3 linked regions of the Oryctolagus cuniculus genome follow. The main gene of each other region encodes a partner of the protein of the gene in region 2 in a complex. Links are inferred from orthologs where the notes say so. Each region holds a gene or a part of one and is shown on either strand. Other genes may lie near its edges.

What was found.
Region 1: the proteins of GDF11 (region 2) and FST are in contact, whole or in part, in a crystal structure (PDB 5JHW), measured with the Homo sapiens proteins. The link is inferred for Oryctolagus cuniculus from reciprocal best matches to the Homo sapiens genes GDF11 and FST. Residues at the interface, in NP_005802.1 of Homo sapiens: Asn299, Leu300, Gly301, Leu302, Glu310, Arg312, Asp328, Trp329, Ile331, Ala332, Lys334, Arg335, Tyr336, Lys337, Tyr347, Met348, Phe349, Met350, Pro354, His357, Gln361, Ile380, Asn381, Leu383, Phe385, Asp387, Lys388, Gln389, Gln390, Ile391; in NP_037541.1 of Homo sapiens: Leu34, Arg35, Gln43, Val44, Leu45, Tyr46, Lys47, Thr48, Arg60, Ser62, Asp72, Asn73, Leu75, Phe76, Met79, Ile80, Leu134, Asp135, Arg149, Gln153, Pro154, Glu155, Val180, Val181, Asp182, Gln183, Tyr188, Val190, Thr191, Asn193.
Region 3: the proteins of GDF11 (region 2) and TGFBR1 are in contact, whole or in part, in a crystal structure (PDB 6MAC), measured with the Homo sapiens proteins. The link is inferred for Oryctolagus cuniculus from reciprocal best matches to the Homo sapiens genes GDF11 and TGFBR1. Residues at the interface, in NP_005802.1 of Homo sapiens: Phe322, Ala324, Phe325, Gly326, Trp327, Trp329, Ile330, Met382, Tyr384, Phe385, Asn386, Asp387, Ile392, Ile396, Pro397, Met399; in NP_004603.1 of Homo sapiens: Ile78, Pro79, Asp81, Arg82, Phe84, Ala87, Pro88, Ser89, Ser90, Lys91.

What each region holds. Positions count from the first base shown.
Region 1 is NC_091445.1:74,276,454-74,281,061, reverse strand, and holds the start of FST (follistatin), read right to left. Parts: upstream 2,946-4,608; 5' UTR 2,557-2,945; coding exon 2,472-2,556; intron 690-2,471; coding exon 498-689; intron 95-497; coding exon 1-94. UniProt on the Homo sapiens protein: Multifunctional regulatory protein whose primary function is to antagonize members of the transforming growth factor beta (TGF-beta) superfamily including activin, myostatin, GDF11 or bone morphogenetic proteins (BMPs).
Region 2 is NC_091442.1:58,574,502-58,578,497, reverse strand, and holds the end of GDF11 (growth/differentiation factor 11), read right to left. Parts: intron 3,861-3,996; coding exon 3,480-3,860; 3' UTR 609-3,479; downstream 1-608. UniProt on the Homo sapiens protein: Secreted signal that acts globally to regulate anterior/posterior axial patterning during development. May play critical roles in patterning both mesodermal and neural tissues. It is required for proper vertebral patterning and orofacial development.
Region 3 is NC_091432.1:202,740,508-202,745,255, reverse strand, and holds the start of TGFBR1 (TGF-beta receptor type-1), read right to left. Parts: upstream 3,007-4,748; 5' UTR 2,914-3,006; coding exon 2,826-2,913; intron 1-2,825. UniProt on the Homo sapiens protein: Transmembrane serine/threonine kinase forming with the TGF-beta type II serine/threonine kinase receptor, TGFBR2, the non-promiscuous receptor for the TGF-beta cytokines TGFB1, TGFB2 and TGFB3.

The sequences.
Region 1 (4,608 bases), on a different chromosome or scaffold from region 2:
TTGGAACAATCTGGGGCACACACGCAGCGGGGTTTGTTCTTCTTGTTCATCCGGCATTTCTTCCCGGGGCCACAGTCCACGTTCTCACACGTTTCTATGGATTGGAAAGAGGTAGGGATTACAACCAGGGCCGGGCGGTCCGTAGGTCAGCCCGGAGGTCGTGCTGGTGCCTTGTGCAATCCTGTAGCTCTGAGTTTGTTCTCAGGAGCCCCCAGGCCCTCTTTTAGTGGGTTGGAGGGGGGCAGGGCCCCATACCCAAATCTGTCTCCACACGTGGCTCAGAAGTCCGGGGACCTCCGCGGACTCTGTTTTGCGAAGAGTTGTGACAGGCAGGAATGGCTCCCAATGGCGTCTCAGAGCTGGGCGTAGGAAGGAGGAGCCCACCCACACAGCTCTCTTGGTTCCAGTCCCCCCCCCCCCCCCCAGGTAGGTAGTGGGGAAGCCCAGGGTAAGACGCCCTCTGCTGAGGGCCTGAGGTTGGGGAGGAAGAGTCCCACCTTTACAGGGGATGCAGTTGGGGGCGCCCCCGTTGAAGATCATCCACTTGAAGAGCGTGTTGTCGTTCACGTCCTCCTCGGTCCACGAGGTGCTCAGGCGGCCCGTGCTGCAGCACTCCTCCTTGCTCAGCTCGGTCTTGTACAGGACCTGGCAGCGGCCGTTCTTGGCTTGGCGGAGCCAGCAGTTCCCAGCTGTGAAGAGTCGGGGGTGGGAGGTGGATGCGCCGGCGAGCGGCGGGGGACGAGGAGAGGGAGGCGGCGGGCGAGCGAGCACAGACGACACGGCGGGCGTGGGGAGGGGGTGAGCGTGGTGCAGGGAGGGCAGGGCGCGCGGCGGGGGAGACGCGCGGCAAATAAATAGGAGGGGGTGGAGGGGTTGGGAAGGAGGGGGGGAAGCCCTGATCCCAGAGGTGGGGGGCAGACGAGGGGAGGCAGGGCGAGGCAGAAGCCAGAGCGCCCCAGCCATATCAATGTCAGTTAACCAGTGACCCAGACACAACACGTGCAGCTTGCATTGACTTTTACTAGACTGTTTACTTTTATTCGTCCCATTTCATAACCTGCAGCGACTCGAAGGGCAGATTAAAGAACCTGACAAAAACAGGATGCGACGGATGTTTTTACATGTTGGTTTCATGTAGGCGGCACGGGAATTATTTGTGACAGGGGTTAAGAAAGTGAGAGAACGGGAGAGGAGAGGGAGAGAGAGGAGAAGGAGACACACACACACACACACACACACGCACGCACGCGCAGGAACAGATCAAGCAAAAAGGCACTTGCGAAAAATGAAAGCAAAAAAGCAATCCGGAGCTGCCCCGCGCGGCCTCGAGGCGCAGCCCGCCCGACGGGCCCGTTTTGCAATCCGCCGCCCCTGAGCACGCCCGCGGCCACCGGGAGCTTTCGAAATCTCCGAGGGCTGCTTTCCCTGGCGCCCACGTCCCTGGACGCGGGCAGCCGGGCGCAGGGCGGTGCAGACGGCGGGGTCGCTCACACCCTGGAAACGTTCACGCTCACGCGGGCAGGGCACCTCGGCCCGGGGCGAGCGTCCTGCCGGGTCCCGGCTCCGTACACCTAGCTCCCACCTAGCACGAAGAAACCTGTGCAAGGAATCTCTCCCCCTTCCCCTCTTTTAACACCCAGATTTGGTTCAGGAAGTAAGACTTTAACAATAACTGGACCACAGGCTGCTAGTATTATTTTAAAAATTCTGCCCAAGACTAATGGAAAGAAACAGCTATTTTTACAAGACAAACTTAAGAGATTTACTCTTGATACAGCTTAGCATTTAAATCAGTTGTGGGCTGCTCGCTGTTTTACAAAAAGTTAACAGTCCGAGGAATGAAGCAAAGAAGAGGGAAAAAAAAAAACTGTAAAGTAACTCACAACACTCCCGGGTAATAATTTGACTTTTTTTTTTTTTTTTGCGGGGTTGGGGGAGGGGGTTTGGAAGAAGCATCCATTAGGCAGAAAGCTACTTCCCTCGAAAATTTTCAGCACCCACATTTCCAAGTTTGGGCAAACTTTCTGAAACCACGTCCCCCAAGCCACCGGAGAAAATTCAGTGTCTCCGCAGCCCCAGGTCATTGTAAAAAGTCTCCAAAAGACGTGGGAGGCACAGAGGTTAGACTGCAAACCGGGCGGCCGAAATCCGCAGGCTACTACTGATGCTGGTCCCCAACCCCGGAGATACCATCTCAAGTCATCCCGGCCAGAACTCGGAGCATCTAACCCTAATACTGAGGCAGACTCCAGCCTGCTCCTTTTCCTTTTAAAGGAGAGCCGAGCTCCCAACTCCGCTGCCGGTCCCAAAGTGTCACTGCCTTGGTGTTTCCCCACTGCTCTCCATCGCGGAGTCGCTAACTTGGTCCAACATCTTCCAAGAGCAGCGTTGGGGCGAACAGACCACAGAAAAGTAGAGCCCCCTGCCCTCAGCCCAGCCTGCCCAGCGCATCCCCCCCTCCCCTCGCTTACCCTGGGCGCTGCGGTCCTCCATGAACTGGCAGAGCAGCAGCAGCAAGAGGCAAAGCCCGCCGGGCTGGTGCCTGGCGCGGACCATCCTGGGGGCAGGCGCGGGGCGAGGAGCGCGGCGGCGCGGGGAGCGGGCGCGGCGGCGGGGCGGCTGGTGCGAGCGGCGCGCGTCTCGGAGGCGAGCGGCGGAGGGCGCAGAGATCCGGGCGCAGCCCCGCGCTCACAGCCGGCCGCCCGCGCGATTCAATGGACGTCAGAAGCCGGGCGCAGCCGCGCTTTAAATCTAGACGGGGGTCTCCGCGGTTTGCGGTGGGCGGTCTCCCAGTGTGTGGGGCTGTGGGAGGGCGGCCTCGAGCGAGGGTGTGCGCGGCTCCTTGGGGGTGGGGAGCTTTTAAAAGTTCACTGTGAATCAGGTGACATTTCCCACCTTCTGGAAACCCTTCCCAGTTATCTGTCGGAGGTGCCCGAAATCAAAGCGGCAGGAGGGGAATCGCCGAGTTCTTATTTGCGTAGGAGCGGGAGGGAGGGGGCAGGCGGCCGGGGCGGGGGGTGGGGGCGACGCTCGGGGGTGGGGAGCGGGGAAGAACACCCACTTCATGTCCTGCACGCCGCCGCTTGCGGGCAGCGCGCCGCGCCCGGGGTGGCGTGTGTGCGTGCGTGCGTGTGTGTGTGTGTGTGTGTGTGCGGGTGTGCGCCGCGGGGCGCTGGAGCGGGCGGCGGGCCGAGCGGGGAAGCCGGCACTTGGTCTCCGCGCCGCTGCTTCTCCGCTCCTCGGCTCTGGCAAAAGACTTTGCAGACGCCGGGAGAGCCGCGGGCTGCTGGAGAGCCCTCGCTCGCTCAGGGTGGGGTCGGACCCTGCCAGCCTCCCGTACAGCCTGGGCGCGGGGGACCCGGCGGGAGGTTTTGTGTCTGGGTCTGTGCGTGCTGGACTTGGCGGCGGCGGCGGCTCTCGGCCCTGAGGGGTCGCTGGGAACCCCGGCCCCGGCACCTTCCACCCTGGCGGAGCAGCGCGGAGACGCAAGCCCCGGGTCTCCACGAGTAGCAAACAAAAATGTTTAACACCTCAGACACGGCCTCCCCCCCGGTGCAGTCTCGCCCTGTCCCTTTTCTTCTCTCTCCCCTTTCACTTCCCGGGCGTCTGGAGTCGGAGCCCCGAGCGGGGGCGCCGACGTAGGCGGTCTGCCCCCTCCTCCCCGCTCGGCGACTCCCCTAGTTTCTGTCCTGTGCGTCTCTGTCTCTCTCGTCTCCAGCTCGGCTCCAGACTCGATTCTCTCTCTCTCTCTCTCTCTCTCTCTCTCTCTCTCTCTTCTCTCTCTCTCTCTCTCCTCTCTCTCTCCCTCCCCCCCCCCCCGCGAATAAAAAAAGATTGCAACATCGATAATGAACTTCTGTAGCCTCAGTTTATTAAGTACAGTGCCTGGCATTCTTCACTGGAAGTTGGCGGGTCTCTCATTTATAACATTTTTGGCACCGCTGAATGAAACTGAGGAGGCGATATTTCCTTTTATATAAAGCGATTACTTCACGGAAAAGGCTATATTGTTTATTCCAAAGCTGCCTTTTAAATTGCTATTCATTTCGCTTCTCCAGCCCGTAGGACAACAGACAGCGAAGTATGCAGACAAAATTCTTGGACATTCGCAGGTCACTGGGATTTGTTCTACGGATTTCAAACCCGCCCCTCCTTCGCCCCCCTCCCCCAGTCCTCCCCAGGCCCTCCCACCCCCATCTTCCGTCACCCCCCTCCCACCCCCTCCACAACTGCAAATAACTCAGTGATAACAGATTTTTTTCCACCAACTGCAGGAGATAGTGCTAATCTTTTAATAAAAGATCCCATTACAATGGGATCTGTCTGGACAGACTATAATAGATCCCGAAGTACAGCCGTGCTAATATTAGAAGACAGTTGTTTGGGTGCCTCTCAGACGGGCCCGAGCCCCCCTTTGAAAGTGGGCGCATGAATCACAAAGCCCCGCGGCCGCCGCACCTGCACCGCGCGCTTTCGGTGCAGCAGGCTGGTAAAAACGGTGACCTCGCCGCCGCCGCCGCCGCCGCCGCCGCCGCCGCCACCGCCGCCGCCGCCGCCGCCGCCGCCGCCGCCGCCTCTCGCTTTATAATTACCGTCGTGAGCACGCGA
Region 2 (3,996 bases):
GGGAAGGTGTGGGGGCACACTGAACCCTTGCAAGGGCCCTGTGCTTTCTGGATCAGCTTGATGTCCTGGCAGCTTTCCTTTTTTTTTTTTTTAAATGTGAGGCAAAATTCTTTTGCTGCTAACTCTTATGCCCTGAGACTTGTGCTATAGGTGCAAGGGAGAAATATTTACATTGGACTCAAATATTTGAGATGCTTAATCACTCTTGTTCCACTGACAAACTGAATGGCTATGGTTTGGTTTGTGGGTTTTAGTGAAACTTGGTTGATGAAACCCAGGATCAAGGACGGCAGATGACAGACGAGCTGGGTCACCTCGAGAATTTTCCGCCTTGGCCATTCTGTGGAGGCTGAGAGTTTCTATCAGCTTTGGGACTGTTTGGGGTCAAACTCTAGAGAAGAGCTATTCTAGGTCCTCTGCCCATCTTCCCTGGGGCTGCATGTCCCCACCCTCTTCCCATATGCCCTTAGTGTTTCTTTGCTTGCTGTGCGGACCCCATCTTTTTAGTCCTTGAGTACAAGGTTTCCTCTTTCAGATCTTACTTGATGCCTGGTCTCCAAGGTACAAATGTGGCGCTTGATTAGGGAGAAGAGCTCAGTACTAAATTCTAAACTCTTTGACTGCTTTTATTTTTCTTTTTTCAGGTTCAAGTGCTGGATTGTGTCATGTGACTATCCCAAAACTCAGAGCACCCTATGGCCATCTTTGCCCTCTGTCACATAACTTGAAAACTGCCAGATGGCCTTTTTGCAATGGTTCCCTCCAGGAAGCCTTTATCTCAGTGAAGAAGTCCTTTTCCCGGCATTCCAGTGCCCCCGTCAGTCCCATTCTCTTCAGACACCCTTAACAAACAAAGGCAATCACGCACATGATGTAACAAATACACAAAGTGAATAATTACACTAATAATGATATGTTTGGAGAGGCACTGGCCAGGTCCACACACATAAGGTGAAAAGGGGTGCTAGCTCCCGCTGGGCTGTAAGGCCGTGCCAAGCCTCTTTACCCTATGCCTCTTTGGGTGTAGGGAAGGAATAGGGGAATGAGACTTCAGCTCATAGATATATGTTCATAAAAGAAACTCCCCCAAGGGTCTTTATTTGGTGGTATTAAAGGGGCAATGTTCTAAGTATCCCCCAAGTTCAATACCCTAGCTCTCTAGAATCTGTAGAGGGAAGTTACCTGGTGCCTGCTGCCCAACTCCCACCCCGTGCCAAGCACAAGAGGCATTTGAACTTGGAAGCGTCTTCTGTTCTTCACTTCTCTGTTCTTCTCCCTCCACCAAGGGAAAACGGTGTTGCTGGTCAGTGTGTGTTGTTCTCCAAGATCGGGGCAGAAGGGTGAGCAGGGCCAGAGAGGAGAAACTTGGGGTTAACATAGCTGCTGTATGGGAGGAGGTGAGTAGAAAAGCTTAACAGCTATCCGTTCCTCTGCTGGAAAACTTCACATCACTTTCTCACTGTGAGAATAGGAATAAGATGCTAAAGCTTACCATCTTGGCCAAGTGAGAGTCGTGCTCTTGGGAAGAACAAGCCTTCCAGGGACGCTTACCAGCTACAGGCTGTACTTCAGTTCAGTACTGTTTGTATCAGACCCATAACTGCTGGTCCTACTTAGAGTGACAGTCTTGTGGAAAGTTCTTCCCATCTCCTCCTGACAGCCTCTTGGTTCTCTCTTGGAGCCCAGAGGCTGGTGGTAAGGTGTGGATGCGGTGTGGAGATTCTCAGCTCCTCGGCTTCAGGCACTGTCCAGCTGGGAGGCAGAGGGGAACTTGCACTCTGAAGCCTGTGCTCCTCTAGCCTCATCTCTTCACCACTACTCTGGTGCCCTGGTTATCTGTCCCACAGCGAGAGGTATTTTATGTCCATAAAGTGCCCGTGGTAAGTGCTCAGAATTCATCTCTTGGCTGTGGCGGGTGCTGCTATTTCTCACTCCATTGAGGGGAAGAAGCTGAGGCACAGTGCGTCCAGAGGAGGGTGGTCAGGGTTGTGGGAGGAGCGAATGGGCTCAGCTAAGTGACTTGAAGTGGCAGCCGGTATCTGCCTGCTTCCTAGCCCTCCCGTCCTCTGCTCTAACTGGCCTTGTCAGGCACATTTCCCCACTGCGTGGTCCCTTCCCTGCTGCCAGGGACTGCTAGATTCCAAAAATAAAAGATAAAAATAATTATAGACACTCTGTTCTCTTGCTCTCCCTCTTTCCACCCTGAGCTTTGGGGTTGGGGGACTAAAATGCCCCCCGCTCCGGAATCCCTTCTACCTTGGTCTGCTGGCTCTGTTCCCTAGCCCAGAGCAGTGATTTGGATTCAGATGCCCTGCAACCTTCAGCCTCCATACTTTTGCCTTCTCGGCCCCTCTGAACCTTTGCTAGACCTGGGGGACTCTGGGGTCTTTATACCCTTTTTTTGTTTTTTTGACCTGAAAGTGGCGGCTGGGGCAGGGGCATTCCACAGGCTCTTTGGTCTCTCTTGGCTGAGGGGAATTTGGGCATAAGCAGGCGGCACCCTTTGGCTAAATAACACATGAGGGTGGGCCTAAGGGTTAGTTCAGTGGCTCTCATCATACTGATCCTGGATATCGAGGGCTCCCCCCACCCCAGCTCATAAACCCTAACCTTTTACTGTTTCTGTGACCAGTGGCTTCAGTTCAACCCGTTTGGCTCAGGAAGGTTGAGTTAGGGTGATTGCAGGTTAAAAACTTCCACGTGCCAGTCCTCCTGCCCTTTACTCCCACTCCCAACCCTGGAGGCTTTATACAAGTGCTTAAGCGGGTGGGTGTTAGGGGAGTGCAGGGTTCGGGAAATAAAGGAAAAATGGGGCACTGGGCAGGGGTCCTCCTATTCCAGTAAAGCCAAATACCAAAAGAAAAATGTAAAGTCATAATAAATAAATAAATAAATTCCCAAATCCTTAACTTTTGCCCCTGCCCTCACTTCCCTTCCCCTGGCCACTGATGAAGGGAAAGAAGGGAGAAGCTAAGAATGGATTTTTGATTTCCTCTCCTACTGAGTAGTTGGGGGATCTCCCCAGACCATACCAAGCCCCTCACCTTGCCAGTGGAAGGAAGGAGGCTCGGTGTGGGGCTTTCCTTTATTCCTCCGTTTCGGTCTCTCTCAGTGTTTGTCTCTGCCTAGTCTCTGTCTCTTCTGCCTCTCTATCCCTTTGCCTTCTCCCTGCGGCTCTTTTTGTTCCACCATCTCTATACCTGTCTCTTATACCTCTCTGTCTTCTTGCCAAACCTTCTCACCTGCAAACCTCAGACGCTCCCCACCCTGACCATGCCCTTCCTTCCCCTTTCCCCAGACCCCTCACCTCTCAATCCCCACCTGCCTCCCTCTGTTGTATTGCACACTGCTTGGTCAGGGAACAAGGTGTGATGTTCATGGGGAGAGGTGGAGGGAGCTGTAGGGCTTGGGGGGAATGGGGGCCAGGGCTGGGGGTCTCAGGGTAGGGTCTGTGGGGGAGGCATCCACTGTCCCCCACCTTAGGAGCAGCCACAGCGATCCACCACCATGCCAGGGATCTTGCCGTAGATAATCTGCTGCTTGTCATTGAAGTAGAGCATGTTGATTGGGGACATCTTGGTGGGGGTACAGCAGGGCCCAGCAGAGCCTCTTGGGTTGGCCTGTTGCACCAAATGGGTGTGCGGATACTTTTGCATGAACATGTACTCGCACTGGCCAGAGCAGTAGTTGGCCTTGTAGCGCTTAGGTGCGATGATCCAGTCCCAGCCGAAAGCCTCAAAGTCCACCGTGAGGGGGTATCGGCAGCAGCGGGACTCACTGGAGTGCTCATCACAGTCCAGGCCCAGGTTCCGCCGGGACCGTTTTGTGTTCTCTAGGACTCGAAGCTCCATGAAAGGGTGCTGAGGGTCAGGGAGAGGGGAAAGAGATGTGACACAGCCCTGAGCAGTTCCTCTGCCCTGTTCTTTTCCCGCCTGCCTCAACAGGGGTGTCAGAACAGACACCACTGGCTTCTCACCTCTTCCACTGCTCCCACCC
Region 3 (4,748 bases), on a different chromosome or scaffold from region 2:
ATCAGATAACCAACTGCGCTTCCTTTACCATAAGTTACAACTTTTCCTGATTACACATAGGAATCTAAGCTAATAATGCACAACTGTACTTACACACAACAGAATAAAAACTAATGGAATGTGTAGTCAAGTGGAACTCACTTAATCAACAAGTATTTGTGCAGAATAGAATATAAAACATAGCGCTAGGTGTTGAGATCATAAAAGAAATAGAAAGCAGAAGCCCTGTCCTCAGGGTGCCTGTACTGTCCCTGAGCACTACACGTAAGTACAGTTAAGTAACTGTAAGTGCTACACAGTCCAGGGACAGAGTTCAAGGAAAATTAAACTAGTACATTAAGTCAGGACCAGAAATTTGTGTCTCCACACCCGTCAAAAAGGGGCAAAATTAATTATGTATTGAAAAGGTTGAACCATCAGGAGTGTCAGTGGGAAAAAGGAAGTCATGGGAACCGAAGGTCTGCAGTAGTGAGAAGTGGGGTGGCTACTCAGAGATGGCCCAACTCAGAAGCCTCGAGCATCGTTCTTAGTGCACACACATGGGGCTCCGGTAAGCCCTGGTGAAGTGGCAGGGGAAGACTGGTTGAGCAGCAGCTCACAGGAAAGCCATGACAGAGGAACACTAGAAAGCAACCAGATTTGGAGATCACCGGCAGGACTAGGCTGACGGCTATCCACCAAGGAAGGAGGGGGTACTCGAGGCATCAGCACAAAGAGTCGGACTGTTTGCAAAGAAAAAAAGTCATGAAATTGCAGAAAGGAAGCAAAACAGCATTCTCGCGTGGGGTATAATGCAGGCACGGTGGAACTAAGCTGCACTAGGGACAAGGAATCAGCTCTAGAGAAATCCATGTTGGAGAGAGCAGAAGCTGGGCACAGAAATGCAAAACAGATCCCCAGACAATAAGGAAAAACCACCAGTCTTAAAAAGGGAAGCCAAAAAAAAAAAAAAAAAGAACTCTTGGGTTGCCTCAGAAAGCATGAAGGCACAGACGGAACCCGAACACACCTAAGCAGGGCGCCGGGAAAGTGGGGTGGTCTGGGCTGTGAGTAACCAGCATCCAGGCCAGCTCTGTATTGTATGTGTGCCCACACAGACAGTCAACTCCAGGGCACCACCCAGCAGCGTTCTGTCCCTCCAATTAAGTCGAGTATGTGCTACCCTAGGTGGAAAACAGTGACTGAACTACGTCACTCAAGTTAATAATGGTGTGGAAAGTTGCCTGCTTGATGCAGAACTGTATCAGTGTATCCCACCTGTCCACAGTTATCTTGCCTCCCTCCTGAGGCCAGGTCAAAACCCTCTGTTTCCTCTAATACAGGCCCATGGCAAGGGACTCAGGAATGTGTCAGGATGTAGAAAGAAGTCAACCTAACACTCAAATTGTGAGGCCAACATCTTAAGGGATGAATACCAACTGCTTGTTAGATGATGGAAAAAGAAAAAATGGGCTGTGCCAGATAGTTGGTGTATGGGTTTTGGAAACTGAGAGAGCTGACAGCAAATCCTAACCTCAGCACTTAGTAACTGGTCCTCACCTCTCTGCAGCTCAGCTTTCCCAACTACCAACGGGGCAAAGGCCAGCAGCCCTTAAGGGTTAGTGGCAGAGACTGGACAATACGCTTTGGCGTGCTTTTTGCATTTGCATCACAGTGGGCTCTTAATAGACAGTAGCTATTAGGATAGCTGGGCACCGGTCTTGAATTTGCTTTTGTTTAACACTTGTTCCATTTCGCTGCATTTTCACCCAAGTTCTCTATTTAGCTTCTATATTTTAGTTCAGTCTCTAACAGAGTTAGGCACTCCACCCTTCGCCAGGGTAGGCACCCACCACCTACTCCAACCTGGTTTAGCGACCAAAAAAGCTGGGCAAACAGTCTCACTTGAAAAGCGGCTACACAGACGTCTGATTCAAGCTGCTAACTGCCACTCAAGAAAAGGAACATCAGGAGCGACGCTCCTTCAAAGAAATAAAAGCGTTTCCATTCAAACACTCCCAACCCCGCGGAGTGAGCAAACGTGCAAGTTTCTACTACGAAAACAATCCGTAGCCTTCTGGCGGCTGGACTCGCTTCAACACTCCCAGACGCACGGAGAGGGAAACAATCCGCGCATCTCGTGCCGCCGCCGCCTCCTCAACACAAAGCTTCGCAGCTCCCCTTGCCAAGCCACCCCGGCCCGAGAGGCAGCCGCTCCCCGCAGGTCGGCTCGGGGTCGCGGCCGGCGCCAAAGCCCGCGCAGCCCTGCCGCCCCGGGGGTCTCCACCACGCGGCGGCCCCTCGCATCGCTCCGGAACGCCCTCGAGGCTCAGGGCTCACAGCCCGCCCGGGAAGCCTCCCCGGACCCCAACTCCGCCCCGGGACTCGGAAGAAGCCCCAGGCCCAGTCCTGCCTGGGGGCAGGGGTGCCCGGAATAAGGCCACGCAGTGACCTGGAGGACGCGCCGGGGCAGCCTGGCTCGGCCGGTCCGGTCCAGCCTCACCCTCCGCCCCTCGCCCACTCACGCCCCAGAGGGCAGCCCCCGACCTCGGACGGCTCCGCCTGACGCCGCCTCTCCTCCGGGGGCCCCCGGAACCCGGGCGGCCTTGGGTTGTCGGCCACGTCCACGCGCACTCGGACACACACCCCCGCCGCTCCTCCGCTGCCCGCCTCAGCTTCGCCTGGCGGCCACCAGCCCCTGAAAGCCCAGCCCGGGCCCCGGCGCCGCCACCTGCGCCCCCGGCCCCGCGCCATGTTTGAGAAAGAGCAGGAGCGAGCCAGAGGCCGGGCCCGGCCCGCGCGCCCCCGCGGCCGCCCGCCTGCCCGCCCGCCGCGCCGGGGCTCACCCGTTGCCCCCGGGAGCAGCGTCGCTGCCGCCGCCAACACGAACAGGAGCAGCCGCCGGGGACGCGGAGCAGCGGCCGCCGCCTCCATAGTCCCGCTGCCGCCGCCTGTGGCCCGGCCCGGCCCGGCCGCCGCCTCGCCTCAGCAAGCCTCGCCTCGCCCCACCTCCCCCGCCGCCGCGGCGGCCTCGCTCCGGCCCTTTGTAACTGCTCCGGGGACGCGCGCCCATTGGCTGCCGGGCCCCCGCCGGCCCCGCCTCCCCGCCGGCTGCGAGCGGCCCAGCGGGACCAGGCCGGGAGCCCCGCCTGCGGGCCCGCCAGGCGACCAATCCGGGGCAGCGGGCTCCGGCCTCCGGCCACGCCCCACACACTCCCCGGGGGCGGTGCCGCCAGACCCCTTCCCCAGCCGGAGCGAGCTCCGGGTTCCCGAGGCCGGGTGGGGGTTGGCTCTCCCGAGCCCCAGTGGGCGATGGGTGTGTCTGCTTCTGGCTAGCTTTCGAAAAAAGGCTGCGGCCGCTCGCCGCTCTTTTCTTCTGGCCTCCTCTTAGACACCAAAGAGCTGGTCCTGACCCAGCCCCACCCTGGCCCCCCCATCCACAGCCCTGCACCTGCAGTCGGTAACACAAGCCGCCCACATCCGCACTGTCGCGGAGCGCTTGCATCCACTTCAGCGTCCCCTCCCCAGACCCACGCCTCAAGTTTCAACATCACCTTTCTCAGTGCCCATCACATGCGACTCATCCTGCTCTTGGCGTACACCCCATACCTAGCCCCCTCCTCAAATTCCAGGCCCAGAAAGTTCTCAGATCTCAATCTTAGATCCCAGAGCCCGAATCCAGACACACACCTCAAATAGCCTCCCTCCAGATCACGCCCAGAACAGGGACCCAAGCCACTCTCCTACCCTCTTTTCGACTTCCTGATTCAGGTTGGAAAGGGAGAGCCTGCATCCCACCCTCCAAGGAAGGGAATCTCCGCTCTCAGCCCCAGCTCCTCCCGGGCGGAGGGGAGCAATCATCGTTACCTTGAGCTGTCTCTGATTCGCCTGTGTAATAATTCTGAGGTGTCACTGAAAACCCAAATAAACTCCACTACGTTTTCATTCTGAATTCCTAATTTACTGTGAGACGCTCCACCCACCTTCCCTCTGGGATGCCAAAACTAACTCCAGATTTGTAATTCTTCCTGTCAGACTAGTGCCTTCTTCAGACACAAACACAGCCAAGGAGGCTGTGTTACGCAGCACGGAGAACGATTCTCCGAAGGACCTTTTAAGGAGAAAATGTGAATTTTCTGAGCGATTGGAATTTGGAATTAAATAAAGCTTGGTAATCAGAATCAGAACCAGCCGTCTAGTTGGGATTTGCAAATTCCTTGAGAGCTAGTAGGTGAGAATGGTACCCGCCTGAGGAAGTTGGTGAGCTGTGAAGGGGAAGGATGGGGATGTGGGAGCTGGGATCTGAGACCCGCTGGGTTCCTGTCCCTGCAAGGACACTCTAGCAAGTCAGTGAATTCTGTTTGCTGGCTTGTGTTTGTCTATATTTGAAAGGCACAGAGACAGTGACACATACAGAGAGAGATCTCTCTAATGCTGGTTCAACAGCTGGGGCGGAGCCAGACAGAAGCCAGGAGCTGGGAATTCAGTGCGAGTCTCCCATGTGGGTGGCCGGCACCCGAGTACTTCCCAACATCACCTGCTGCCTTGCAGGGCACACATTAGTAGGAGGCTGGATAGGAAGCAGGGACTTGAACACAGGCATTCCCCTGTGGGATATAAGCGTCCCACGCATCAGCTCAACCACTGCACCTGCTGCACCCGCCCCAAAATGTTAAGCTTTCTGAGCTGCCCCCACAGACAGCCTGCTGTCTGGAACTCCAAGTCCACCAGCAGGATGCCATGTCTGCCGGAGGCCGAGCAGGTCCAGA